7 linked regions of the Sus scrofa genome follow. The protein of the gene in region 4 purifies or fractionates together with the protein of the main gene of each other region. This does not show direct contact. Links are inferred from orthologs where the notes say so. Each region holds a gene or a part of one and is shown on either strand. Other genes may lie near its edges.

Region 1 (4,283 bases), on a different chromosome or scaffold from region 4:
AATAAATGACTTCAGGAGTTGGTCATGAACCCTTCTTCTTCCTCTAGTGCTCAATCTTTTAAAGCTTAAAATTGGACATCACAGCCCTACTTAATTCTGTTGAAGGCTACTCTTTGCCCTCAGAATAGAATTCTAACTCCCCAAGCACAGTGGTTACCTCAGGGCCCTGTGTGAGCTTGCTTCCATCCACCTCTCCAGCCCTACACCTGGTCTAATACAACGTGACTGCTTACTGTGACTGCACAGTTGGGCTATATTGATTCATGCCATCGGATTTTGTTTCAAGTACTTCCTTTGCCTGGAAAGCTCTTTCCATTTTCTTTGCCTGGTTTGGCTCAGGAATGACCTCCTCAAGCAAGCTTTCCTTCTTTGAATACAGATCCTATTAAAGAAGGAAAGAAAGAAAGAAAAAAGAAAGAAAAGAGCACTGAAGTATGGTTACTCTCCTCTATTTGTGATTAAAAATGAAAGCAATACCAAACTGTAAAATGTAACTCTTTTATCTTGTTTTTTTTTTTTTTTGTTTTAGGGCCACAGGTGTGGCATATGGACATTCCCAGGCTAGAGGCAGAATCTGAGCTACAGCTGCTGGTCTAAGCCACAGTCACAGCAATGCAAGATCTGAGCTGCATCTGCAATCTACACCACAGCTCACCACAAGGATGGATCCTTAACCCACTGAGTGAGGCCAGGGATGAAACCTGCTTCCTCATGGATCCCAGCCAGGTTAGTTACCCCTGAGCCACGATGGGAACTCCTATAAGTCTCTTAAATGACACACAACTGTATATATGTAACTGAATCCACTTTGCTGTACACCCAAAACACAACATTGTAAATCTACTCCGAAATAAAAAAAATTTTAAATAATAACTTATATGAATGCTAGATTTAGACTATCGTCTGCTTATGATTTTTCTCTCATGCATCCTTTCTCTCCACGCACCCATTTTGCAGACGCCTTAAACAGACTATCCAACAACCCCACTGCTGGAATCTCAGCTTGGGTCAAAAGCTGCCCTGCTCTGCTTCTCGGCACCACTGCATTTTAAAGTAACTTGAACAGACCGCAAGTTTGCCTTTCCCCCTAGGGGATGAGAGCCAGAGGTGGCGGGAACACCATCTTTGTCCATGGAGCACCATACCTCAGCCCACTCTCCTGTTGGCTCCAGGTTTACTTGAGTCGAAGTAAAAACTCCTCCCGGCTGACCCATGCATTTCTTCTTTAAGAAGGCTTTCCCTAACTCATCCAGCAAGTGCAACTAGTTCGCGCCTATCAAGGGCTGGCACTGAGAAAAGGGTGCATTCCAACCAGCCCTGAAAGCCTGGACAAGATTCCCTAAATTCTCCGGCGGAGAAAGCAACCCGCCAGGGAGACGCCCACAGATATTCAGCAGAGTGGGCAGGGCTGGAAAAAAAAAAAAAAAAAGAAGACCGACACCGGAAGTCACGTGGCCACTTCCCCTTGAATAGTCGGCAATCGACTATTCAGCCTTGCAGGCGCCTCTGGCGGGCTGTGTTGAGATCCAGTCTTTCGGCGTTCGACTCGCCCGTGCTGCTGCTGCCGCCGCCGAAGGAGGGGCAAAGCTCAAGATGGCGGACAAAACGCCAGGCGGCTCTCAGAAGGCCAGTTCAAAGGTAATTTCTTAAAGGACTTCGTGAGTCATTGAGTCTATCACTGTCGTCTGGAGACTACAGACACTTCTGGCCAGCGGGAGGAGATTGGGGTGGAAGTCCGCGTTCCGGTCGCGACGGTAGGCCGGGGCGCAGACGCACCGTGGTGCGCAGGTTGAGAGGCCTGGTATCTCCCCTCGGTCCCAGCCTGGATTCGGCTCGAGGCTGGCGGGCCCGGGGCAGGTGGCATGAGTAGTTCGCCCCGCGCTTACCACTGGGGTGAAGTCAGGGATTTACACTGAGGTCTGACGCCAGGAAAACGCGCCTCTGTATTTCAGCTTGTTGCGCTCTGAAGCTCCGGGACAGAGTCTAGGAGAGGCGGGAATCACTTCCCGGTACTTAAGGTCTACTTCTCTTTCCTCGGTTCTTTGGGGTTTGGATCTCGTACGCTTCTGGCCTCCTTCAATTTCCCTCACGTCCTGCAGGGAATAAATAATCTCTAGGGCTGCAGATTGTGAGGGGAGGCCCTATAGTGGAGGGACGCGGGGTGGGAAATGCAGAGGCGGGAGCAGTTCTCCTTTGCGGTGCTGCATCACCAAGGTTAATGCTACGCTCTACACGTGGTCTTACCTCCCTTAAGGGGAAGTATGAAATGAACGCTTCTTTGGAGGGCTCATTTTCGAGGACTCGGGGTCCTCATCACCTCCCGAAAGGAGAACTTTCATAAGTTGCTTTTGAGTGTACAGGGAATCGTGTGCAAGTATTGTGAAACCACTGAGCTGTGGGAGTAGTTTAGCTTTAGGTTGTGATTAGCATCTGGCACCAGTTGCCATCTTGGACGGGTCATTTAATCGTTTTTGCTTTGAGTTTCTTTTTCAAAACGATATTAAAAGTAGTAGATAGTGCCCAAAGTAGTTGTTAAGCTTTTCTATGCTGATGTAAGAAATTGTGTAATACACATCTTAAAGAGTGTGTATGAATTGCAAGTCGGTTACTAGGAAGTTAAGTTTACTGTAGACGGGGCTAGTTCTGTGTGTGCAGTTTGTTTTGGGAAATATAACCTATTATATACTTGCTTTCTCAGTTTCTAATCATAATCTTTATGCCATTTGGTGCATGACGTCTATAATTAGTTCGTAATTAGTAATGGATTTACCAGAAATCCTTTAGTTGTGTGGAGGCTATGATAGAAGGCCAGTATTGGCTGCTTTACGTTCTGCGTTTACTCCTTGTTTCTCCTCTCCCCACTTAATTTCCCCTTGATGAGGAGGGGAGTAGTTGGGTACATCACTCTGCCCACTTCCTCAGCAGACTCATCAGAAAAACAGCCCTGTTTACTGTTAGGGAACGATTACCAAAGTTAGCCACATCCATAAAATTCACCGGTAAGCGTCACTATTTTTGTTTCTTCTCAAAATAATACTTTAGTATCTCCTATTTGAGGCCTTGGATACATTGAAAACATTTTAAAGCATATGTTCAGCCTTCTCTAAGAGTATTTGTCAGGGTTGTATATGGCTTTTTTTTTTTTTTTTTTGGTAAGTGTAAATTGTTGAATCTGCCAGGAATCTTTTCAGTTTGTATTGCTTTAGATTATCGTCAATTGATGTGATTAAGAGGTTTCCTACGATGTCTGTAAAATATAGTAGGGCTCAAATGATATGGTTTTTTGCATTAATATGGAGGGTACACGAGGTAGTGGAGAGATTATGGATTTTGATAACAAAGTCGAGATTTGGATTCAAATTCTGACTTGGTACTTTATTTATGATGTCGCAAATTGCTTAAACTTTTGAGCCTCAACTTCCTTGTTGGTAATGTGGATATAATCTCTTTTTCTACAGGGTTGACGTAAAGGTTAAATGAGTGAATAACTCTTAGTTCCTTTGCTTTTCCCTTTTGTTCTTAGAGGAAATGAAAAGTATTTACTTTTCAAAATATCAGGATAAGTTCTAATGCTGAGATTTAGAATCTAGGTCATTAGTTAACATAATGACTATCCACATTGCTGCTTTTTATTTCTAACCCAAGTCCAGAATTTATTGGAGAGAGTTTAAGATCATTTTTGCTAATACTTTCAGTACTTGGAATTTCTAGCCTTTGCTCTCTAGTTTGATTTCCTTTCCTGTGGGGAGTTTAGATGAGTGAGGATTATTCTACTACAATACAGAGGGAGTGAACAGATTCTTCAGTTTTGTGCTTTCTTACTCTTTGTTAAATTGTAGTTATTAAATTCCTATTGATATGGTCAGAGATGCTTGTTAATCATACTTCTAGACACTGAGAAAAATGTTAAGCTTAAAAATGTACAAGGGAATGTAATGTACAGCATGGCGACAGTCTTTAATACTACTGTATTGCATGTTTGAAAGCTGCTGAGAGTAGATCTTAGTTCTCATCACAAGAAGAAAACTGTAAGGCAAATGGCTATTAACCAGGCTTATTGTGGTGATGTTTTTGTAGTGTATACAGATATTTAATCATCATGCTGTATACCTGAATCTAATACAGTGTTTTATGTCAATTATATCTCAGAAGAAGTTTTAAAAATAAACAGATTCTTGCCAATGACAATGGCAAAATTATTTGATGTGTCTTAATTATAACATGTTAAATTAGCTAGTTTCTTCTTGCTTTTAAAATTGTTTCAAGTATATGTAGTCAAATGA
Region 2 (4,118 bases), on a different chromosome or scaffold from region 4:
GTCCCAAACCGAGGGCCTGACCCAGCGCTCAGAAGAGCACTGGCCTCTGCATTAGGCGGAAGGCCTGGCCTGCCCCTACCCAGGAAAATGCCATCCTTCCTCTTGGGTCTGAGTGTCCACTTCTGTAATGCAAATCGTTGGCTAAGATGGTTTCTATGGCACTTCCAAATCCCAAGCAGAAGGCTCTACGATGAGAAAGCTTCACCCACCTGCTGCCCCCAAAGCTGCCCGTCTCAGAAGAAGACACAGTAGCATAAAGGTGACAGTACTCACTTGGTCTCCTCGATGCTGAGTGACGAGGCATCGCCCGAGCTAGTCTTGGAGCTGGCAGCTGGAACAAGAGAGAGAGAGGCTCAGGAGCTGAACACGGGGCCCAGAAGCCACTTCCTTGGCTCCAGCCGCAGGGCTGAAGGTGAGGGTCCCCCATCTGCCCCGAGACATCAGGGAACAGCAGCCTTCCTCCATCCCAGGGGCTCCTCCTACCTGACTCCCAGGCTGTCGACACACCTTCTGATCCAAAAGGTCCAACCTGCCACATCCTTCACTCTGCCACCTCTCCACCTCTGTGTATTCTGTTGTTACAACCTACACGGCCCTCTCTGGCCTCACTCTGATTAGCAAGATGCTATCCAAACGCAACAATCAGAGGCCGGAGTCCTGATTCCTGATCAGCACCAACTCCTCTCCCCTGCACTCCACAGCACGGTCACGGCCATCTCCAGGTCTGTTTTTGCTCACAGGGCAGGGCCCATGTTGGCAGCATATCTGTGTTCTCTCTGTGTAATTCACACAGTCAAAAAATACACTTACTGGCGCCTGTGCTGTGAGGATGCTACAGGAAATAAAGCAGCGCTTCTGAGCTCTTTCACCCACCTCATAAACAGCAAATGTCACACACAGAATGCCACACACAGAAGCTGGACGCCATCGGCTGGAGCTCCTCCCTCCAGCATGGCCACCTCGCAACCTACGTCTTTCCCTCCCACCCCACCTGGACCCTGACTCCCAAGCACCTCCGTGCTCGCTCCAAGGTCGCCAGCCTCCTTGTCTGTAAATCCGATGGATTCTCTGCCACTCTGGTTTTGCCTCATCTCCTGTGGTGTGTGACACCACTGATCACGCCCACAGATCCCATGACATGAGATGCTATGGTATTCTTGCTTTGGGGAACATCCAACCTCCTTTTTTGTACCATCTTGCTCCGCCTGCTACTAAAACGTAGACATTCCTGAGGTTCTGCCCCCGACCCTGGCTTCTCAATCCTCACTCTCTCAAGGGACTTCATTTGCCATTGAACCCTTATGACTCTCAAACTGCTCTGTCCTGCCCAAGCCCTGAGTTTCCCCATGTGCCTCATGCAACACTCCTCAAAACTGAATTCACTGTCTCTCTCCAAAAAATCTGCTTCTCTTCCAAACTCAACTTCCGTCGACAACACTACCACCCACCTGGTCACACCAGCCAAAATCCAAGGACCATCCTCAATTCCTTCTTCTCCTTCCCACTGTCATCCAAGTGCTTAAGCTCTGTCACCTCCTCCTCCAAAACACCTCTCCAATGGGTCAACGACTCTCCATCCCGCTGCTGCTGCCCTGGTGCCAGCCATGGCCAGTCCTTACCTCCTCTATGGGTCTTGACTGCTCTTTACCCAGTTCTCAACACAGTGTTCTCTGTGATAACGTGAATACGACTAACTCGCTCCCCAGCTCGAATTCATGGCTCCCTATTACTTTTGAAACAAAGTTCAAAATTTTTTGTTTTTTGTTTTCTCAGGGCCACACCCTGGCATATGGAGGTTCCCAGGCTAAGGGTCGAATTGGAGCTACAGCTGCCGGCCTACACCACCGCCACAGCCACGCCAGATCCGAGTTGCACCTGTGACCTACACCACAGCTCAAGACAGTGCAGGATCCTTAACCCACTGAGCCAGGCCAGGGGTCGAACCCACAACCTCATGGTTCCTAGTCGGATTCGTTTCCGCTGCGCCAGGACGGGAACGCCAACAAAATTCAATTATCTTAACAGGCTTGCAGGAGCCTCTGTGTTCGGACCCCTGCCTCATGTCTCTGCTATGAGCTCTACATAACCTGCCCAATACCAGGTGTCCTCCTGCCTCTACACACGATGGTACCACTCCATGCGTTCACTCGACACATTTAGCGAGTGCCTGTGATGTGTCAGTTAAGGAAAACAGAGAAAATCTCCACCTTCACGGAGTTTAGCAGAGAAAGCCAACCCTTAATCCCAAATAATCAAAACAAGACCCTTCCAAATGCGCTGACGACGGGCCTGGGGATGGCTGGGCCTGTGGGCTTGGCTTCCATCCCCGAGGCCCTCCACCCTGAGACCCTCCCCATCGCCCCGCCCCCTGCCCAGGCCCCGCCCCTCACCGGCCTCGTAGCCTTCATCTCGCTTCTCCCGCTTCACGCGGCGCTCGGAGGGCTCTGTCTGGCTACGCTCCCGCCCGTGCGTGCTGCTGCGGGCCTCCGCTTCGGCCCCGCGCCGCCCGCTCCCGCGCTCGCTCCCACGCTCCCGGCTCCGCTTTCGTCGTTCGCCACCGCTGCTGCCGCCGCCGCTGCTCCGGTGCTTGTGTTTTTTGTGCTCCCGGTGCCGAGGCGGCTGCTCGGTGGCGCTCCCGGTGCTCGCTCCTGCCGTAGTCCCGGCCGCCTCCTTCTCCCCGCGGTGCTTCTTTGACGACCCCATGGTGGTAGGTCCACCCGAGCCCCGCCGCCGCCGCCGCCGCCGCCACCGCCGCCGCCGAGCCCCGACGGCGCAAAATGGGAACACTTCCGGGTCGGGCCCGGCTGCGCCGTCGCGTTGCCGGAAACCAAGAGCGGCTGCTTCCGTCCTTTGCCTCGGAGCTGCCCCAAAGGCTCATGGGAAGGCTGGGATCGGGCCCGACTGCGCATTCGCGGCCGGCACTGGCCGAGCGGCGGTCTTTGACATAGTGGTCGGATTGCGCGTGCGCTCAAGCTTGAGGGGCGCGTTCGAGTCCGGGGAAGACCGTATCCCAGAATTTGAAGGACCTAGGGCCCATCTAAGCCAGCATGGCCTCCCTGGCTTCCCTCCGCTTGCACACCCTCAGCCACGGGATGCTCACTGCAGCGCCCGCCGCTCCAGCAGAAGTCCTCCTAGTAGACTCCCTGGGGTCGTGGCCGATCAGGTGTAGGAGGACGGAGCACGTTCTGCTCCTGAGACCCTCAGCTCCACAACCCAGCCTCCTCCCAGCCCCCACAACTAATATTGTCTGCAAACGCTGCCTTCCCACGGTCCCTGAATTGGGTTTTTTTAACGTGCGCTTTGACTGCTACGGAGCTCGAGATGGGCCTTTGCATGCCTGTGAACCCCTGAAATCGAACGCAAAATTTAGCACATCGGGGTGTGTGTGTGTGTGTGTGTGTGTGTGTGTGTGTGTGTGTGTGTGTGTGAGAGAGAGAGAGAGAGAGCGCGCTCGCGGGAGCTGCTGCTGCTTTTTTTTTTTCCCTCTTGAGAGGAGCTCTAACTTGAAGTTGCTTGAAGCTAAAATCTCAGTTTACACAGGAATTCTCCTATGGCGCAGCGAGTTAAAGATCTAAAGATCCGGGACTGTCACTGGAGCGACTTGGGTCACTCCTGTGGCTTGGGTTCAATTCCTGACCCAGGAACTCTCGCATGCCACAGGCACAGCCAAATAAACAACAACAACAAAAACTCTGTTCACACAATCTCTCCATCCCTCCTGACACCCCTCACCTCCCAGTTGCCCCATCTGGAGGCCCATCTGTCTGTGATTATGCTCCCCTTTAAAGTTCCGCTTTCCTCCCCCCCAGAACTGGGAGTTCCCAAAGGCAGAAGCCATTCTGTCCTATTCACTCTTGACTTTCTAGGACCCAGCATTTCTAGGGCAAGTTGCCGCTGTTGCTCTTGGAGATGCCATGCTCACACCTCAGGAGCAGAGGCAGAGCTGTGCACAGGGAGGGGGCAGCCAGAACAGCCAGAGTTCCTCTGGGATGTGGGGAAAGCCTGCTGCAAACCCACCTGCCACCGCCAGCTCCCAACACGCAGCCCCTTCCCACCACCAGAAATCTCACACTATTTTCCACAAAGCATTTAATTTTATTTTTAATTTTAATCTTAGA
Region 3 (4,063 bases), on a different chromosome or scaffold from region 4:
AGTTTAAACTACTACCCCCCAAAAAAGAGTAAAAGGCAAGCCATATAGTATGCTCACACTCAGAATATATAAAGAAATCTTAAAAGGAATAAGAAAAAAGAAAACCCACTAAGAAAAAAAATGGGAGAAAGACTTGAATGGGCACTTTGTAAAAAAATATCAGAATGGACAATATGCTTAACTATTATTAGAAAAAAGCAAATGAAAGCAATAGTGCACTGGTACTCACCAGAATTGCTAAAATTATGAAGACTGACAGTGCAAATGAGGTTAATGTTGGCAAGTGATGGAAACCCTTACACACCACTACAGTGTGGAAATGATTCCAGCCTCTTGGAAGTTATCATCAGGCAGTACCTATCAATAATACCACACACTTTGTCTCCTTAGTTTCACTCCTGGAAAAGTTCAGGCACAGGTGCATGCGATCCACGTACAACAAAATTCATAGCAGCATTATGCAGACTAGCCCCAAGCTGGAAACAAACCTAATGTCCATCGACAGCGAAATGGATTGTTATGGTGTAAGAGACGCAATAGAATTCTATACAGCAGCAAGTAAGCAAATCATTGCTGCCTGCAACCTGGATGGATTTTAGGCATGACACAGAGCCAAAGAAACCAGATACAAAAACAGATTGCATCATTCTCTTTATATAAAAGTAAGCAAAACTAATCTATGGTGACGGATTCGTAGTTCCCTTTGGGGAATGAAGGAGTCTCCGAATTTCAGGACCCCAGCAGCAGCCACCCAAATGTGCTCACTCTGTGGGCATTTGTCATGTTGCAGACTTTAGATCTGCACACTTCCTGTGTTATCAGGCTTCAGCATGAATATCTAATTGTCTAGAGAGGGCAGGCCTGACTGCAAACTAGACCAGTGCGGAAGACCCAGGCTTGGTCTTCATGGTGTCACCCGGATGCCAAAGCCCGGGACCCATCACTGAATCCCATGGGCGGAGTGAAAGCAGTCACTGCCTCCCTTTCACCTCTAGGTGTCCTGACGCACGCGAAAGTTCCACTCGTGGGCTTTCACTCTTTATTAACTTGCGGACACAAATATCTGGACTCGGGGGCACTGCAGGCCGAAGCTGCACAAGAGGAACGAACTCAGAACCAGATGCGCCGCGGAGAGCGCGGGAGCTAAAGCCCAAAAGCTGTGCCCGAGCCCGGGGGCGGGGCCGATCACGGAGGAAATGGCTCCTCGATTGATTAGGCCTGGGAGCCGCGCTGTTAGCACACGCCGGAAGCGATTGATGCTGCCTGGCGGCGGGCGCGGGGTACGCCGGGACGTCGGTGCGGCGGGAGGAGCGGGAGACACTGCAGGCGGGAGGCGACAGGATGGTGAAGCTGACGGCGGAGCTGATCGAGCAGGCGGCGCAATACACCAACGCCGTGCGGGACCGCGAGCTGGACTTGCGAGGTGAGTCGGGCGGGGGCGGGCGGCCCGGCCTCCCCGCCCGCTCGGCGGCCTGCGCCCGCCGCGTGCGCGAAGGGCGGGAACGTGGCCTGGGGCGTGCGTCCCGGTTCCTACCCCGGCTGAGTCCCGCTGTCGTCGGCGAAACGCCGACCCTGGACTCCTTCGAGGCTCTCCTTAGCCCAGCCCCCACCGCCCGGGACCGCCTCGATGCTTGGGTCAGACCGCGGGGCCGGTGCCGGGCCTGCCGAGTGACCTGAGCCGTTGGGGGGCGGGGAAGTACACGCCTGCGGGGTGGGCTGAGCCGTTGGGGTGCTGAGCCGTGTTTGTGATCCTCGTGCGGACCGAGATACGGTAAAGTGAAGTCATGAGAATATAGGTTGGGTATGGGACGGAGGAAGTGAAGTCCGGAGCAAAAGCGATTTTTTTTCCCGGCTTTTCCTCCTCCTTAGCTTCAAGGATCTATTTCCCTTTTGCCAAAACCTTTCAAAGAGCAGACTGTTTCAGCCACGCTAGGGCTGCCGGATGTCTTGCGTCTATAAGGGAGGCGGAAGTCCTCCAGACTATTAGATTCCTGTGGCAACTCGTCTGCATAGTAGGAGAGGCTTTAGAAAGGGTGTGAAGGACGACTTCTCCGGGGTTAAGTGTTGGCTTGAGATCCACCCCCACGGGGGAGAACACCGTCTCAGGAGCAGCACTGCTGCGGGCCCTGCTTTCTGCTTGCTTTTTTGTTTGCTGACATAGTACTTTCGTTTTGTTGAAATTAAATATCATAGGTTCGACTCAAGAGTAACCCACCGCTTTCATACTCTTGGCACAGGCTGATGTCTGCCTGAGTTTGAAGTGCATCCGGTGTTGAGAATGCTCGTTTTGGTACAGCACTTAACTTTGAGCCTTTAGAGCTCTGAAATGTGTACTTATTTAACCTTGCCTAGGTTAACTTCTTTTCTTCTCCTAGCACCTAAGACAATAATTATGCCCCTAGAAGACAAATCAGTGAGCGTTTGAGTGAGTTGTTCACAAGGTGATTTACCATTGTGTACAAATTGACCTTCAACTCTGGGTTGGGCCTCTGGGAGGTGAGAGAAGTGGGAACTGTCATGATACGAAGATATCCAAATGAGTTCTGGGAATCTGACCTGTGGAAATGCAAAAAAGGTTGGGAGCTATTACTGTCCACAATACGTGGACAAGGCTTGGACACTGACAGTAGGCAGCTCACAGTGTAAAGTCCTGTTAGGCCACTTCATTAGCTTTGGGGCCTTGCTTAGAACAATACAAGGCACCTTGTAAGTATACTTGGAAATGTTAGCTACCTATTAGTATTACTGTTAGCGAGTATTCTCATCTTTATTGCCCTTGTAATCAACCAGTGCTTTGGCAGTGTTTGGCACAGCATAGGTGCTAGATAAACAACTTTCTGATTGAATGAAAGCTTTGAGTCCAATTACCATGAAATGCTGCTAATGTTTCCTTGTGTGTTTTTTCCCTCCTTTCTCCAGGGTACAAAATTCCTGTCATTGAAAATCTAGGTGCTACCTTAGACCAATTTGATGCCATTGATTTTTCTGACAATGAAATCAGGAAACTAGATGGTTTTCCTTTGCTGAGAAGACTGAAAACATTGTTAGTGAACAACAATAGAATATGGTAAGTGTCTACTAGTGGAAAGTAATTTTTGTTCCCCTAGAGTAAATGTAGCAGAGTTCCATAAAGAAGTTGCAGTATTGCCAGTTACACCTACGTATTTCTTAAATGGAAAATGAACTACACTTTTCCCATACAGATCCAGAGATGAATTTGGTATTGGTCTGGTCTTACTTGCATCTATTCAGAAATCTTGTATTATTTATGTATTCATGGTACATTTCTAATTTAAGTTAAAAACCTACTGCTTTGGGGAGTTCCCATTATGGCTCAGCAGGTTAAGAACCCAGCTAGTATCCATGAGGATCTGGGTTCAATCCCTGGCTTTGCCTGGTGGTTTTAGAATCTGGCATTGCCATAAGCTGCGGCATAGGTAGCAGATGTGGCTCGGATCTGGCATTTCTGTGGCTGTAGTGTAGGCCGGCAGCTTTGGCTTTCATTTGACCCCTAGCCTGGGAACCTCCATATGCTGTGGGTGCAGCCTTAAAAAGACACACAGACACACACACACACACACACAATAGAAGTGCTGGGTAGTGAGTTGCTTTTTTTTAAATGCCCATTATTTCTCGTGAGTTAACTATTCCACTGTGGTTTGCTTACTGGCTTATCTTGTGCCTGAGCTCTGACTGCAGAATCACTTATGTTTTTGGGCTTCACACAGGTCCTGAGATGAACTAAGTAGTCTGTTTTACACAGGAATTTCTTGTCTTTGGTTTCGTTAAGATAGTGTGGCAGTAGGAAGGGCCCTGGACATCTTTCAGGAGATGTGGGTTTTAAAGTCATCCTACTTCTGTCACCTGTGTGACCTCAGACAGTTCTTTTTGTGCCTTATTTTCCTGTCAGGGTCTTGGAAGAAAGATCTCTTAAGTTTCTTCCCACTCTGAAGCCCTCTGAGCAAGGGCTCAGATAAAATTTTTAGCTGACTTAATTTGCATGTTTACTAAGAGTCCTTCTGTTTTTATTTCAGCCGTATAGGTGAGGGACTTGATCAGGCTC
Region 4 (3,500 bases):
CTGGGGCAGTGGTGCTAACACTCCGCCCAGGCATTTCCAGCAGCTGGCACCAGGCAGTCCCAGGAGGCCAAGGGCACTTAACATGCTGGGGAGGGGAGCAGGGGGCAAGTCATCGCTCAATGGTAGTCGCTCAAGGAGCAATGCTGGGAGGGAGAGAAAACGTCAATTCCCACAAACACAGGGGCCTTTCTTCTCAGGCTGCACATAAATTCCTTCCGAGAGGAGAAAAGCAGCTTGGCTCTGGTGACTCTGTGCCTGCCTGGAGGGCCTGGCTCGAAGCAAATAGAGGCAGCCGAAAGGAAACACAAGCTACACTTAGAAAAGCTCTGGGAACTGCTGATCATTTGGGTGTAATCTCGAAAACATCAAAGTACGAGGTGCAGAGGGTTCCCTAACTGAGAGCTGGCCTGGGGGTGGTAGCGAGCAGGGCATTTGGGCAAAGGAGGAAGGTCACAGAATAGGGCCAGCACAGCTTTCAGATCCTTGCTGGTCAATAAATCTTTGTTGTCTGAACTGCAAAGACGGTCTGTGCTGCCGGGGCTTGGGCAGCTACCTTATTCGGGACCCACACCTCCTTTTGAGGTCCTAATTCTGGAGAAGAACACCCATCTCTCTGGGCTCCAGGGAAAAAGTCACCCCAAAGGCCCTCCCAGGAGCATACCTCATCCATGTCTTGCACTTGGGTGTCCTGGTCCAGCTGGGAAGGAGGCTCCTCCGCCTTATCCTGTTTCTCGTCCTCGTCATCAGACTCAACCTCCATCTCAACTTCCTCACTCTCCCCAAACTTCTCGTAGCGCTCCTGAATGAGGATTCGGGCCCCCAGCTCCTCTGGGGTGGTGGGGGGAGGGAAGTTCCCTGGCAGAGAGTAAGCCAGAGTCAAGGGGAGGCCTCTACAGACCCTTTTCAAAGGCCCAACTATCTGCCCTCTCCACGCTGTCAGCTCTCCAAGGGCTGGAGCTGTCTGACTTATCTCCTATCTCCAACCTAGGGTCTGGCACAACAAGTATTTGTTGAATTGGGTTTAGCTGGGGCAATGCGGTAGGACTGAAGTCTTCTGGAACCAGAGATGAAGCAAATACAGATAAAACCGTCTGAGGGATTCTGCTGCTCCCTGGAGATAACTGGATGAGATTTCCCAGGATGGCTCCAAGCTCTTGGTCCCCCAACTGGAGTCACAGACCTACCTTCCTCAGAGACCTACCTTGCTCATTGGGTTGGAAGTCCACCGTTTCTACCACCACAAAATCATGCCAGTCAATTTGAGCATAGGCTACCCGCTCCTTCTCCTTCTCCTCCTCTTCCTTCTTTCTCTCACGCTCCTGAAACTTGGCCCACTCCACTCGGTAACACACCTAAAGAGATGGGAACCAACATGGTGCTGAGTTGACTCAAGATCATCTCCAGGGCCTTCACCAAGGCCAGCATCTCCCTCAAACAGGAGGCTGTCAAAGTTTTCTGCTTGACTTGGCCAATGGCTAGCAAACTCCCTCCCAGAAAGTCTGTGTGACAACCAAATGCCCACAAAAGCAGAAGCAGTCAGAAAGCCTGCAAAACAGAAGTCTTCAAGCAGCCACCTAGAACAGCCAGTACCAATATGCCTTCTCTTGACTCTGAAAACCTGAGGCTTAAAAGGCAGTGGTCACCAGAGAACCCATTCAAAAGCTGGCTTCTAGCAAAGGAAGGAAAGAGACCTAGTGAAGTGGAGAACAAAGCAGAAAGTTGGGTAGCAGAGAATGCAGGTTTCTTTGCCCTTTGTGGCCTCAAGGCGTTTCTTCTCACCACTGCTGTGCCTAGAGCACAAGGTACTGATTTGGAGACTTCCAAACACACAAGAACCCACACAATGTAACTTGCACCATGAGTAGCTGGTTATAAAAAATTCAGTTTACCTGGTCCAAAACTTCCCGGGGGTTCTCTGCCTCTTTCTTGAGCTTAGTAAATAAGCCTTTGGGTGGAATCAAGATCTGTAACACAGGAGAGTTAAATCAACTGTCAGTGCAGCACAACATGGGACAAACAAGTGGCCTTCTTGGGCCTGTAGAAAGGCAGAGGAGAAAGGTGAGCGTGGGATTCTGGGACCCAATCTCAGTTCTACTTGGCTGTGTGACTTTGGACAAGTTATTTAACCTCTGTTGCTCAGTTTCCTTCTACAAAATGGTGACACCACCAATTAAAGTTGGCATCATCCACTTAAAAGTTTGCAAAGATTAGCAGGAGAGTAGGCAAAACCACTACCAGATCACCCAGCACACAGTTAGCATGAAACAGCTGCTCTCAGGGGGAGGCTCTGCCCTTGCCCTTTTGCACATGCCACCAGGCCCTCTCCATGACTTTACTGAAGACTGCAGCCCACCACCCTAGACTTCCATCCCCTGCTTTCTCTTTAGCACTTTTTTTTTTTTTTTTTTTTTTGTCTGTCTTTTTGCCTTTTCTAGGACTGCTCCCACGGCATATGGAGGTTCCCAGGCTAGGGGTCGAATTGGAGCTGTAGCCACTGGCCTACACCACAGCCACAGCAACAAGGGATCCGAGCCACGTCTGCAACCTATACCACAGCTCACGGCAATGCTGGATCCCTAACCCACTGAGCAAGGCCAGGGATCAAGCCCGAAACCTCATGGTTCCTAGTCGGATTCGTTAACCACTGCGCCACAACGAGAACTCCCTTTAGCATTTTTTCCATAGTATTTATCATCATCTGACATACACTGACATTGCACTTGTGTGCTGCCCCCTCGCTAGACCAGTCTCCACAAAAACAGGGATTTCTCTGTATTCAGTTTACTATTATATATCCAGCACCTGGAATAGTATCTGACACTCAAAAGTACATTTGCTGGGAGAACAAACGCTGGCTTTGTTCAAAACAGCCAGTCTTGGAATCCCGTTGTGGCTCAGTTGTAAATGAACCCTACTAGTATCCACAGGACTCAGGTTTGATCCCTGGCCTTGCTCAGTGGGTGAACGATCCAGCGTTGCCATGAGCTGTGGTGTAGGTTGCAGACGTGGCTTGGATCCTGAGTTGCTGTGGCTGTGGTGTAGGCTGGTAGCTGCAGCTCTAATTGGACCTCTAGCCTGGGAACCTCCATATGCCGCAGGTGTGGCCCTAAAAAGAAAAAAAAAAAAAAAAAAAGACGACGACAAAACAGCCGGTCTTTCTAATTGTCCCAATAGTTTCTACTGTCACTGGCAAGGCAGTTCAGCCCCACTCCATACATCCCGTCCCTCCTTCCCAGGAATCTATTTGCTCCTAGAGTTCCCAGAGCTAGAGACAGACACCGCTGCCCTCAGATTAGAGTACAATATGTCAATACCTAAGTTCTTAAGGGAAAAGGAACAGGAAAATTAACAGAATAAAAAATGAATCTGGGGATCTTTAACTGCAGAAACAGTCCATGGAAGGAAATAAACCCAGTGCTCACTTAAAATTGATATTGTGTAATTACAATAACCCTTGGGCCTTATGCTTTGAATGATTATTATTTTAGGTACTCTTCTAT
Region 5 (3,500 bases), on a different chromosome or scaffold from region 4:
AGCGGCAGCGAGAGGAGCGGCAGCGACAGCGGGAGCTGGAGAGACAGAAGGAGATAGAAGAGAGAGAGAAGTAAGGCTCCGTGTGGACGTGGGTGTTCTTTGTTCGAAATACCGTGACCCATCTGAGCAGGCAGCGGGAGGGCGGGGGCTGGCTGTGTACATCCCGGCGTGAAGACAGAATCGGAGCCACTTTCAGGCACAGATGCAGGATCATTTGGGTGTGTTCTTAAAACAGTAACTTAGGGAGTTCCCGTCGTGGCGCAGTGGTTAACAAATCCGACTAGGAACCATGAGGTCGCGGGTTCGATCCCTGCCCTTGCTCAGGGGGTTTAAAGCTCTGGTGTTGCCGTGAGCTGTGTTGTAGGTCACAGATGAGGCTCGGATCCCGCATTGCTGTGGCTCTGGCGTAGGCCGGTGGCTACAGCTCCAATTCGACCCCTAGCCTGGGAACCTCCATATGCCGTGGGAGCAGCCCCAAAGAAATAGCAAAAAGACAAAAAAACAAACTAACTTAGAAACTCGCTGTTGAATAATAGTTTTTTGCTTATGCTGTGAGTCTGCTAGAATCCTAACTCTTTAAAATACTAAAAATGTTACTCTTTTACTGATTTTTCTTAACTGTTAGCTCTCTTGGTATGCTTTAAAAGTGAGAGAGGGAAATATCAAAGAAATTTTTTTCTTTTCTCTCTCTCTCTCTTTTTTGTCTTTTTAGGGCATATGGAGGTTCCCAGGCTAGGGGTCCAGTTGTAGTGGTAGCAGCCCTGGCCTACACCACTGCCACAGCAACGCGGGATCCAAACCTCATCTGTGACCTACACCACAGCTCACGGCAACACCGGATCCTTAGCCCACTGATCCTTAACCCAGGGATCGAACCTGCATCCTCATGGATGCCAGTCGGGTTCGTTGAGTGCTGAGCCACACTGGGAACTCCAAGGAAATGTTTTTCCTGCTGCTGTGCTTGTACTTATCAGATTTGCTCCATCTATCTTCTGGATTGTTCTCCTCATACTTTTGCTACTTTGGTCTTCAGCCAGCTCTTGGCACGTGCGCATGCACACGCACACGCACACACACACACACCCCAACCCTTTAGTGTGGGGGGTACGGTCTCGTGACTTCCTTGGGTTTGTGTCTCTAAATTGGCTCCTCTGTGATGAGTGTTGCTTCCTTTGTTGTCACAGGAGGCGTAAGGACAGACATGAGGCCAGTGGCTTTTCACGGCGGCCGGATCCAGATTCGGACGAAGATGAAGACTACGAGCGAGAGAGGAGGAAGCGAAGTAGGATGGGAGCGCGCGGCCGGGGCGCTTTAGCTGCGGGCTCTCCCTCTGGCCTTTCACGTTCGGTTCGATAAGTCGTTGAGTTGGCGCTGACTTGGGGGATCTTCTGCGGATCCCCGCAACCCATGTGAGCGTCGGAGCTCTAACACCCGCCGTGTCTGAGCCACGTCCTTGGTGCCACGGGGTCGCTGGGCCCCGACCCTTCTCGAGCGTGCCCTGTCCAACGCTGGGATTTCCTGGGTTTAGTCGCCCACTGGTTGACGGCGATTTGCTTGAGAATTTCAGATCTGCGCTCTGGGCCGCCCAGCATGGTTCTCAGCACGATTTAGGTTGTGTCCTTTACCCCACACGGCCCGGGGGCGGCTCCACGATTCCTTCTCGCCTGGAAAGGGGAAGCAGTGAGGCCTGCTTCACCAAGTTTAATCCTGGATTCCAGTTCTGAGTCCCTGGGCTTTGGTGAGAGGGGCGGAGCCACGTCCCTCCATCCTTCCTCCTCGGGGGGAGGTGTGACGCAGCAGGCAGCAATGTCACATCCTTGAGACTCTGACTCTGAAGCGCTCTCCCGCCTTTGATCAGCGGAATTTATGTTTTTGCAGGTATGGGCGGCGCTGCCATCGCCCCCCCCACGTCTCTTGTGGAGAAGGACAAAGAGCGTACGTACCTCTCTCTCCCCTCCTTCTGTCCAGACGCGCATCTGCAACCCGCGCATCTGCAGCCCAGTCGGGGGACGTCCTGGCCGCGGCCAGCTGGGCTTCCCGAGGGCAGGGCAGTGGCCGGAACCGTCCCGCTCCAGCCCTCGGCCTGGTCCTCCCTTCCACCCCTTCTGCCTTCGCCAGTTTATGTGCCAGTCTCTGAGGCGTGGGTTCTTCTACAGGGGGATGCCTTTTTGGTTTGTTTCTAAAAACAACTTGTTTTGTTTTCTCCGATATTTCACATTCGGGGTTAGGTTAAAACAGCTCAGTTTAGAATTTTTGTGCCCAGTAATTTACAGGCTGTTAAGCACGTGACCCTCCACAAGGTGGCAGCACTTTCCTGGGTCGGATGTTTTGGTGCCCGGGTTGTGTGCGTTCACTCAGGTCGCCCAAACCGCCTTCTCCCGGTTCTCCCTCTAGAATTCGGGGTTGGAATTGGCCCTGACAGATCATCTGGGCTGGACCCCACGCAGACCTCCCTAGAAAACATCCTCCCTGGTGCTTTCCACCACTGTGGCCCTGTGCGCGTCACGTCTGTTTATAAAGAAGGGAGGTCGGGGAATGTCAGGTGCCTTTTGTGTGGAAACACCCGACGACCATAAAGCCAGCCCAGCTGAAACCTGTCTCAGAGTGCGGCCCCCACATCCGGGTCTCTGGGAAGCTGCCTGTTGAGTCTGCCACCCCCACCTCGGAGACCGTTCGTGCTGCCAGGCTCACGTGGGTGTGAGACTCGCGAGACTGTAGGACAGGTGCACAGGATGTCGTGGGAGCCGCAGGGGTTGATGGCGTCTGCTGGAGCCTGCAGAAGACTCAAGTGCAGCTCAGAACTGTTTTGTAGCGTGTTGATAAACTGGCTTTGTTTTCCTCCAGCAGTGCCCCGAGACTTCCCGTACGAAGAGGACTCCAGACCCCGTTCACAGTCTTCCAAAGCTGCTATCCCTCCCCCGGTGTACGAGGAACAGGACAGACCCAGATCCCCGACCGGCCCGGGCAACTCCTTCCTCGCCAACATGGGGTAACCGTGCAGCTGCAGGGAGGCCTTGGCCCTTTGGGTAGATGAGTGAGTCTGGAGGTGAGGGTGTCCGGGGTGGGGGGCGTGGGGTGTGCGTCACACCGCCTCCCCCAGGAGGAGCAGTGCTCCCGGCACAGGCGGGTGTCCGGCAGGACACGCCTCTGTTCTGTGCGAAACGCGAGGCCTTCTCATGGGAGTTTGAGTGATTTAGACGCTGGACACTGTGTTCTCCAGGTAGGAGCCATTTCCGGTCACTGCTGATACTGAGTTTTGTAACATGAATGAGCAAATAAAGTAGCTCCTGAGAATTAGAGTTAACTTACGCTGTGTCCACAGGGTGGATGAGATCTGTTTTTTTCTTTTCCTTGATAAAATGACCTTTACTTTAAAATCATGGTTCCGAACCTTTGGTCTAAAAGCTCTTAGTCATTCTAATGATAATTAGAAATTTGTTTGCCAGCATATGAAAATAGTTTTAATGTTTATTTTCAGGTGGGGCTTTGGGATTTTTTTT
Region 6 (3,994 bases), on a different chromosome or scaffold from region 4:
TAAGGTGTATTGCAGCTATCACCAGGTTTAGACAGACAGCCGGGGCTTGCCCCTTATTAGCTGCAGGACAGACTGTAAAAGGGGGATAGTAATAATCCCTATTTAACAAAGTTACTGTGAAGAATATGGAAGATAATACCCACATAGAAACTACCTATTCTTTGCACAAGGAAAAATTAAGAAATATTTTATCTCATGCCTTATCCTAGATTAGGTAACCAGATACCTTATAATAAATAGTCTACTGGTACTATATCACATTTCCTTTTATTTATTGTGTCATATGAATAAAAGCTGATTAACCTCCCCTACCCCAAGCCTGCTTTTGGAATAGATCTACAAGCCCTCTATCCTGGCTCAAAGAGTTGAATAAATAGCCACTGGCACCGGAGTTCCCGTCGTGGTGCAGTGGTTAACGAATCTGACTAGGAACCATGAGGATGCGGGTTCGATCCCTGCCCTTGCTCAGTGGGTTAAGGATCCGGCGTTGCCACGAGCTGTGGTGTAGGTTGCAGAGGCGGCTCGGATCCTGCGTTGCTGTGGCTCTGGCGTAGGCCAGTGGCTACAGCTCCGATTTGACCCCTAGCCTGGGAACTTCCATATGCCACGGGAGCGGCACAAAGAAATAGCAAAAAAAAAAAAAAAAAAAAGCCACTGGCACCAAAAAAATGTCAAGGGGCAAAAATGCCATGAGCAAGAATTACAATCAATTCTGCAAAATCAACCAAAGGCACTCTCTAGCCACTCAGAGCTGAAATGAACTTGAACTGTCCCAAATTCAAAAGTCATCACATCCACCCTAACGTTCCTTAATGGTAGCACAAATTAGTGACTTCTGCACATCATGCACTGTGGTATGATTTAAAAATGCAGCATAGTTTCTGGGGGGAAAAAAAAAAAGAGAGAGAAAGTTCCTTTGTGGTGCAGTAGGTTAAGGATCTGGCATTGCCGTAGCTGTGGCACAGGCCACAACAGCAGCATGGTTCATCCCTGGCCTGGGAGCGTCCACATGTGGACACAGCCAAAAAAAAAAAAAAAGAGAGAGAGAAAGACATCAAATTGCCAGTGTTGACAAAAATTTGCTTTTCTCGCCTTTGTGTACTTGATGCAAAATAACTACCTTTTGTTGGAGTACACCCAGTTTGGTTTACAGAACTTGAAAATTATAACCTAGGTGACTGGCTGAACAGCCATCTCCTGACCATAGGAGTCTGCTGTGGATGGCCAAGTGTTCCTAAACGAAAGGAAAGATCAGAGGAAAAGCTTAGTATACACTCACATCCTTCTCCTGGATGGTGCACTCCTTACAATAATAGGCATCTGAAACTCCCGGGCCTCCGCAGATCACACAGCGCCCCTGGTAAGAGCCATAGTTACACTCGTCACATATGCGCACCAGGGTGCAGGGACGCACGTAGGAGTCACAGATCACACACTTGCCATCACCTGTAAGGAAAAGAGGTTGAATTACGCCCACTTGCAAGTACCTCAGGTCCTCTTCCTGCTATGGGTAAAAACACTATGTCCTTCTGACAGTGACTTTAGCCCTCTATTTTGGCATTATAAAATTGGTTTACCTAGCGTCCATTTCTCAATCTCCCCAACACATAGGAAAGCTAATCAATTAATATAAAGGGCTTAGAATAGCAGTCGGTAGATAAGTCTATATAATTGACTGGCAGAATGCTGTGTGTGTTGGGGGCAGGGTCATGCTACTTCTGGTCCAAAGCTAGAGGTTTTGTCAAAACCTAAATACAGTGCCTAAAATGTACAAGTTGGAGCGGGAAGGTGGCCTTTAGTTGCAGTCTGGCTTTGTATTAACATGCTTCCAATCATGTCTATCCAAAGCCCTCTTCGTGGCACCGCTGAAAATGTCCGTTGCTGCCACTATAGAAGCTGAGTGGGAGGGGTGGGCTGTTTGGAGAAGCGTGTTCCACTCACATTTTTCACACAGTCTTCCAATGGCTGCAAGATCAAAGGTGATAAAGAGTACAATTAGGATTAAGGTTTAGAAGAGGGGACAAAAGCCTCGAGCTTGAGTTGGGGACAGGTACAGGGTCTGCAGTGAGCCCTGAGAGGTCTTAACCATCGTATTCTCATAAACTTCAATCCGAACCAAATCCGCACCCTCGTAAGACCTCCCAGGTCCTGGGAAAACTGAGAATTTCTCTATCTCCGCAGCCCCTCTCCAGCTCTCAGCACGCGCGCCCCCGCCCCCCTTTCATCTGAGCCCACAAACCCACGCGCTCCTACACTACCGGCGGCGAGGCGGGAAACGGGGCGCCTCCGAAGCAACACCCTAAAGGAGTAATGGGAACCCCGGACTCTTAAGGTCCTAATACCATCCCCACCCAAACAGCCGGGGGCAGAAGACCGTCTCACCAACACCAGCCTGCTTGCGGCAAAAAATCAAGTCCGGGTGATGCTTAGCCATCGCTCGCGCTCAAACCACCGGAAGCTTAGGGAGCTTCCGCCAGACCTTTAACCCTGATTGTTCCTGCCTCCTCGTCGCCCTGATTGGTTCTCTAGGCGTCCATCAGCGTTTGCAATCTTTGCACCAAGCCCCGCTCATTCTCGCGTGATCAAAGCACTTAAATTCCGAAGACGAATTCCCGTTGGCAGTGGGGGAGTCAGGTCTTGGTAGGGGTGTGCGGGTCATTTAGGGAAAAAAAAAAAAAAAAACTTTCCCAGATTTGAATGGGAGGGACAAGTTGCAGAGCGCAAAGACGAAATTTGCACTTTGATATCTTTGTGCCGGGTATTTACTACCCCAACTTTTTAGGCAGCTCTCTCCCAATTCCCAGGTTGACTCTGGAGCTCCGCCCACGTCGCTCGCGGGAACGCCTTCAGCGTGACGCGTTTCTCCTCAGGTCACGCCCCTCACCGAAGGCCTTAAATAAGCCGCGTGTCACGTCACTTTCAAGCGACCTCATCTTTGTCAGTGCACAAAATGGCGCCTTACAGCCTACTGGTGACCCGGCTGCAGGTGAGCGAACCGAGAGCCCTCTAGGTTTACGGGGGCGGGGTACCTCTTTTGCGCTTGCGGCTATGGGCAAGGCAAGGCGAGGCGGGCCTGACCTCCGGCCGACTTTTCGCGTACCTGTCCCTTGCGCGGGCCCAGCGCAAATACCCGCTCCTCTGGCGCCCGAGGTCAGGGCGTCCCCGGCTCAGTCAGCTCTCAGCCCTGTCCCCGCCCCGCTGGAAGCAAGGGCCTAAGAAGCGGCGGCCGGGTGAAGAGTGGAGGCACGTCTTTCTCATTTTTGAGGACCGCAGTTTCTTCCCCCGTAAGGCTTTTTTTTTTTTTTTTTTTTTTCCTCCCCCGTTCCTCAAGGTGAGGACAAGGTGACTGGGGGGCGCGGTGGTTGGTAAGCGCGCTAGGCCCAGAGCCTGAAGGCCTCACTTTTCATCTCAGTAGCACAGAGTTGCTAGCCAGGTGCATCTACGGTTGCCAAACATGGAGTCTGTAGGGGGGGAAAAAAAAAAAACTATGACCTATTCCATCTTGTGGGGATCCTGCGGAACATGTACCCAAGAATTCGAGGGGGTGGGTTCCGTGCCCAGATGTAGCAAATAGTAATGATGACAGTAGTCTCTCAGCTTTGCACAAGATTGCAAGACTTAATTCCTCACCACATCGTTTGATTCATATCATCATTTCTGGAGATGATTATTTTTATTTGATAGGTGATGACGCTGTTAGAAAACAGGTAAAAGTTCTGCTCTCTGAGTCTTACCAAAGTGCTGTGGCCTGAGCATCTGCCCTACTACTCCCCATTCTCCTTGTCCCTTTCAGCCTGCCCTCACAGAACTTTTTGAGCCAGAGTGTGGTCCTGGAGCTGACATTTGTATTTGTGGGAGTTCCAGAATGGCGTATTTTGAGCTCACAATCAGTTGCTTTTCAGTTACTAGATGGGGAGGGTAAAAGAGACTCAACAGTTTGACCTTGACTGTCCTCTTTTGAACCATCTAGAAGATTGACTGACTGCCATTTCTT
Region 7 (3,500 bases), on a different chromosome or scaffold from region 4:
TTGTGGATGACACTAATGTCTACAGAGTGACTATCCATAAGGTGAGAGCAAGACGCAGCATGGGGCTGTGGGACTCTGGGTTTGCCTGTGGGGGTGGTAAGGCAAGGGTGTGTGTCTTGGACGGAAGGCAGGTTGGTTGTGTCTGGACTTAGCTAACTGACGTAATCATTCTTCAGACCTTCGAAGGGAACTTGACCACCAAGCCCATCAATGGGGCCATCTTCATCTTCAACCCACGCACGGGGCAGCTCTTCCTCAAGATCATTCACACGTCTGTGTGGGCTGGACAGAAGCGTCTGGGGCAGGTGAGCCTGTTAAAGTGTGGAGAGGCTGGAGAACCTTGCCGCCTCTTATTCTTTGGTATGTAGATGGGGGTGTGTGTGCAAGAGTGAGAGTCTTCTCTTTCTCTCCTTGTAAGATTGAAGACGTTTCATTTAAACTTTTCCCCTGAATTACTTAACTTTGGAAGTGTGTTCTTCTATAAGAGGTCCAGGAGCGGAGTTCCCAGGTGACTCAGTGGGTTAGGATCCGGCATTCTCACTGCTGTGGCTCAGGTCACAGGTGTGGCGCCAGTTCATTCCCTGGCCTGGAAACTTCCACTTCCCTCGAGTGTGGCCAAAAAACAACAGAAAGAGATCCAAGAGTGAGGTTCTTCATTGCCTTCTAGCTGGCTTCTCTCCTTCCTGAATGTCCCATCTCCAACCTGTCTTGAAGAAGACTGCCAGAAATCATCCTTCTAAAGGGAGCAAGCATTCTTACTTATTTATTTTTAATGTCTTTTGTCTTTTTAGGGCCACACTTGTGGCATATGGAGGTTCCTAGGCTAGGGGTCTCATTGGAGCTGTAGCTGCCGACGTACACCATAGCCACAGCAATGCAGGATCCGAGCGCGTCTGCAACCTGCACCACAGCTCAGGGCAACGCCAAATCCTTAACCCACTGAGTGAGGCTGGGAGTTGAACCCACATACTCATAAATGCTAGTTGGGCTCGTTAACCACTTAGCTATGATGGGAACTCCAGGAGCAAGCATTCCTAAAACATCATTTTCACCAAATCTCTTCTCCCCCTCATCCTTTGGTAACCCCCCCCTTTTTTTTGTCATATTAACTCTTTGGTTTCCTAGATTCCTAATGTCTAGGAAGCTGTGCAGCCACAGTTTCTCTTCCTCCATAGCATGTTTCCTGATGCCCATCTTCCCTTCTTTGGCTTTGCTCACAGATCCTTCCTTCTAGAATGAACTTTCCTCTTTGTTCTGTTAATCACTGTCTTACTCATCCCTCAAGATCTCTTTCTTTGTGCAACTTTTTATGACCTTTAGCCTTAGTTTCTTTAGTCCCCGACGTAGTGTAGTATATAATCAAATACGGGCTTAGGGTATTATTTTGTATGAGTTTTGTCTGGCCAGCTAGGTCGAAACATTCTTTGGGGCAAGGCCATGGTTTGCTTTTATCTATCCCTCCGAAGTACCTCCATTCCAGTAGCAGTGCACAGTAGAAACATAGTTGGATTGTTTCAGGGCTGGGATCTTTTGTTCTCATTGACTCAATTTCCACTCCCTTTACGCTTGCTTTTTAGTTGGCTAAGTGGAAGACGGCTGAGGAAGTGGCCGCCCTGATCCGCTCTTTGCCAGTGGAGGAGCAGCCCAAGCAGATCATTGTCACCAGGAAGGGCATGCTGGATCCACTGGAGGTGAGAGGTGGTGGATGCGGTAGAAGAAAAGAGGGCTGAGATCTGCTGACTCTGTTTCTAGACTTGGACTTGATCTTGTTTCAGGTGCACTTGCTGGACTTCCCCAATATCGTGATCAAAGGCTCAGAGCTCCAGCTCCCCTTCCAGGCTTGTCTCAAGGTGGAAAAGTTTGGGGATCTCATCCTTAAAGCCACTGAACCGCAGATGGTTCTCTTTAACCTCTACGATGACTGGCTCAAGACCATCTCATCTTACACGGTATGAAGTCACCTCTTGAGGAGGGTCACTCGTCTAAGAGGGGTAGGTTTGGGGGTCACAAGGAGATCCTGTGCCTTAGCTTTGCCCACAGGCCCCTTAGGGAGCCATTTTCACATCTTGAGCCTGCGGGTGGGTCAGTGGATACGGGACTGCATGTCAAGTTGGCGTACGGCGAGGGAGCTGAGTGGGGCACCTTAGAGTCTGAAATCAGTTCCTGGGTCTCCTGAAAGGATGGGATCAGGAGCAGGGAACCCGACCATCAAGGGCTGACCTGCCGCATCTCTCCCCAGGCTTTCTCCCGCCTCATCCTGATTCTGCGCGCCCTGCATGTGAATAACGACCGGGCGAAGGTGATCCTGAAGCCAGACAAGACGACGATCACGGAACCACACCACATCTGGCCCACTCTGACTGACGAGGAGTGGATCAAGGTGGAGGTGCAGCTCAAGGACCTTATCTTGGCCGACTACGGCAAGAAAAACAAGTGAGGAGACAGATGGGACGTCCAGAACGGGGGCGATGGGCGGCTTAGTGCATGGTTTCAGGGGTTTTTGAAACATTTTCAGCTCAGAGATTTCTCAAGAAATCGTCCGGCGATGCCTGTAGAAGAGAGGAGGGTAGGCAGGGTGTTCACGTGGTGTGGAGATGTCCGTGTGTCCGGGCTCAGGCTGACTCGGGCTTGGCTCCGGAGACGCTCTGTTGCCAAATCGAGAAGCGCATTTCTGTACCGTCCATACATTACAGGAAGTTCTAGCAGCCCAGACCCCCAGGTACCACTGCTAATAGCGTGTGCCCACACCTTCCTTGTTTCTCCGTCTTTGTCACTGTGGCAGTCAAAAAGCCCATAGATTTCCAGGCGCACAGTAAGGGTAACTCTGAGAACTTGTTCTAGGATTTCCATTTTTGAGTGTTTTCCGGTGTGGGGGCAGTTTTTGTTGAGGGAGAGTGGGAGGTGTGGATGCTGAGCAGGTTTGAGCATGGCTGAAAGGTGTACAGGCACAGGGCCAGCCTGGGATGTGACCCATCTTATCAGTATTAGTTTATTTCCACTTCACACTTCCTTTGCAAGTGTCACTTGAGGATTGTCTGGGATAAGAATATGGGCTCCCTTCTCCACCGAGTTACGCTCTTGCCGTTGGGGCATACCTAAGTGACCAAGGGGAAAGGATCCTTGTGGTGTGACCCACACTCTCTCCACAGTGTGAATGTGGCATCACTGACACAATCAGAAATCCGAGACATCATCCTGGGTATGGAGATCTCAGCACCATCACAGCAGCGGCAACAGATAGCTGAGATTGAGAAGCAGACCAAGGAACAGTCGCAGCTGACTGCGACCCAGACTCGTACTGTCAACAAGCACGGTGACGAGATCATCACCTCTACCACCAGCAACTATGAGACCCAGACTTTCTCATCCAAGACAGAATGGAGGGTCAGGTACTAACTATAAGGGGCAAGAGGGATAGGGACGGAAAGGACTGCCGATGCTGCCTGAGGTGCTTGTGCTGAGAAATGACAACATTCGGGAGATCCCGTTGTGGCTCAGTG

Evidence for each region.
Region 1: the proteins of SF3A1 (region 4) and U2SURP purify together in Homo sapiens (affinity purification with mass spectrometry; 4 studies listed by BioGRID and IntAct, with this or other methods). This does not show direct contact. The link is inferred for Sus scrofa from reciprocal best matches to the Homo sapiens genes SF3A1 and U2SURP.
Region 2: the proteins of SF3A1 (region 4) and SART1 fractionate together in Homo sapiens (co-fractionation; 3 studies listed by BioGRID and IntAct, with this or other methods). This does not show direct contact. The link is inferred for Sus scrofa from reciprocal best matches to the Homo sapiens genes SF3A1 and SART1.
Region 3: the proteins of SF3A1 (region 4) and SNRPA1 purify together in Homo sapiens (affinity purification with mass spectrometry; 6 studies listed by BioGRID and IntAct, counting the BioPlex papers as one, with this or other methods). This does not show direct contact. The link is inferred for Sus scrofa from reciprocal best matches to the Homo sapiens genes SF3A1 and SNRPA1.
Region 5: the proteins of SF3A1 (region 4) and RBM17 purify together in Homo sapiens (affinity purification with mass spectrometry; 4 studies listed by BioGRID and IntAct, counting the BioPlex papers as one, with this or other methods). This does not show direct contact. The link is inferred for Sus scrofa from reciprocal best matches to the Homo sapiens genes SF3A1 and RBM17.
Region 6: the proteins of SF3A1 (region 4) and PHF5A purify together in Homo sapiens (affinity purification with mass spectrometry; 3 studies listed by BioGRID and IntAct, with this or other methods). This does not show direct contact. The link is inferred for Sus scrofa from reciprocal best matches to the Homo sapiens genes SF3A1 and PHF5A.
Region 7: the proteins of SF3A1 (region 4) and PRPF8 purify together in Homo sapiens (affinity purification with mass spectrometry; 4 studies listed by BioGRID and IntAct, with this or other methods). This does not show direct contact. The link is inferred for Sus scrofa from reciprocal best matches to the Homo sapiens genes SF3A1 and PRPF8.

Annotation. Positions count from the first base shown.
Region 1 is NC_010455.5:83,703,018-83,707,300, forward strand, and holds the start of U2SURP (U2 snRNP-associated SURP motif-containing protein), read left to right. Parts: upstream 1-1,483; 5' UTR 1,484-1,593; coding exon 1,594-1,638; intron 1,639-1,663; exon of another isoform or gene 1,664-1,754; intron 1,755-4,283.
Region 2 is NC_010444.4:6,370,543-6,374,660, forward strand, and holds the start of SART1 (U4/U6.U5 tri-snRNP-associated protein 1), read right to left. Parts: upstream 2,801-4,118; 5' UTR 2,704-2,800; coding exon 2,391-2,703; intron 332-2,390; coding exon 274-331; intron 1-273. UniProt on the Homo sapiens protein: Plays a role in mRNA splicing as a component of the U4/U6-U5 tri-snRNP, one of the building blocks of the spliceosome. May also bind to DNA.
Region 3 is NC_010443.5:145,706,130-145,710,192, forward strand, and holds the start of SNRPA1 (U2 small nuclear ribonucleoprotein A'), read left to right. Parts: upstream 1-1,263; 5' UTR 1,264-1,341; coding exon 1,342-1,423; intron 1,424-2,919; coding exon 2,920-3,067; intron 3,068-4,034; coding exon 4,035-4,063. UniProt on the Homo sapiens protein: Involved in pre-mRNA splicing as component of the spliceosome. Associated with sn-RNP U2, where it contributes to the binding of stem loop IV of U2 snRNA.
Region 4 is NC_010456.5:47,318,449-47,321,948, forward strand, and holds part of SF3A1 (splicing factor 3A subunit 1), read right to left. Parts: intron 1,965-3,500; coding exon 1,890-1,964; intron 1,353-1,889; coding exon 1,202-1,352; intron 856-1,201; coding exon 662-855; intron 1-661. UniProt on the Homo sapiens protein: Component of the 17S U2 SnRNP complex of the spliceosome, a large ribonucleoprotein complex that removes introns from transcribed pre-mRNAs.
Region 5 is NC_010452.4:64,892,007-64,895,506, reverse strand, and holds part of RBM17 (splicing factor 45), read left to right. Parts: coding exon 1-70; intron 71-1,184; coding exon 1,185-1,282; intron 1,283-1,878; coding exon 1,879-1,935; intron 1,936-2,847; coding exon 2,848-2,989; intron 2,990-3,500. UniProt on the Homo sapiens protein: Splice factor that binds to the single-stranded 3'AG at the exon/intron border and promotes its utilization in the second catalytic step. Involved in the regulation of alternative splicing and the utilization of cryptic splice sites.
Region 6 is NC_010447.5:7,069,951-7,073,944, reverse strand, and holds the start of PHF5A (PHD finger-like domain-containing protein 5A), read right to left. Parts: upstream 2,801-3,994; 5' UTR 2,435-2,800; coding exon 2,383-2,434; intron 1,966-2,382; coding exon 1,942-1,965; intron 1,447-1,941; coding exon 1,280-1,446; intron 73-1,279; coding exon of another isoform or gene 28-72; exon of another isoform or gene 1-27.
Region 7 is NC_010454.4:47,864,287-47,867,786, reverse strand, and holds part of PRPF8 (pre-mRNA-processing-splicing factor 8), read left to right. Parts: coding exon 1-41; intron 42-176; coding exon 177-305; intron 306-1,577; coding exon 1,578-1,691; intron 1,692-1,775; coding exon 1,776-1,949; intron 1,950-2,239; coding exon 2,240-2,433; intron 2,434-3,149; coding exon 3,150-3,389; intron 3,390-3,500. UniProt on the Homo sapiens protein: Plays a role in pre-mRNA splicing as core component of precatalytic, catalytic and postcatalytic spliceosomal complexes, both of the predominant U2-type spliceosome and the minor U12-type spliceosome.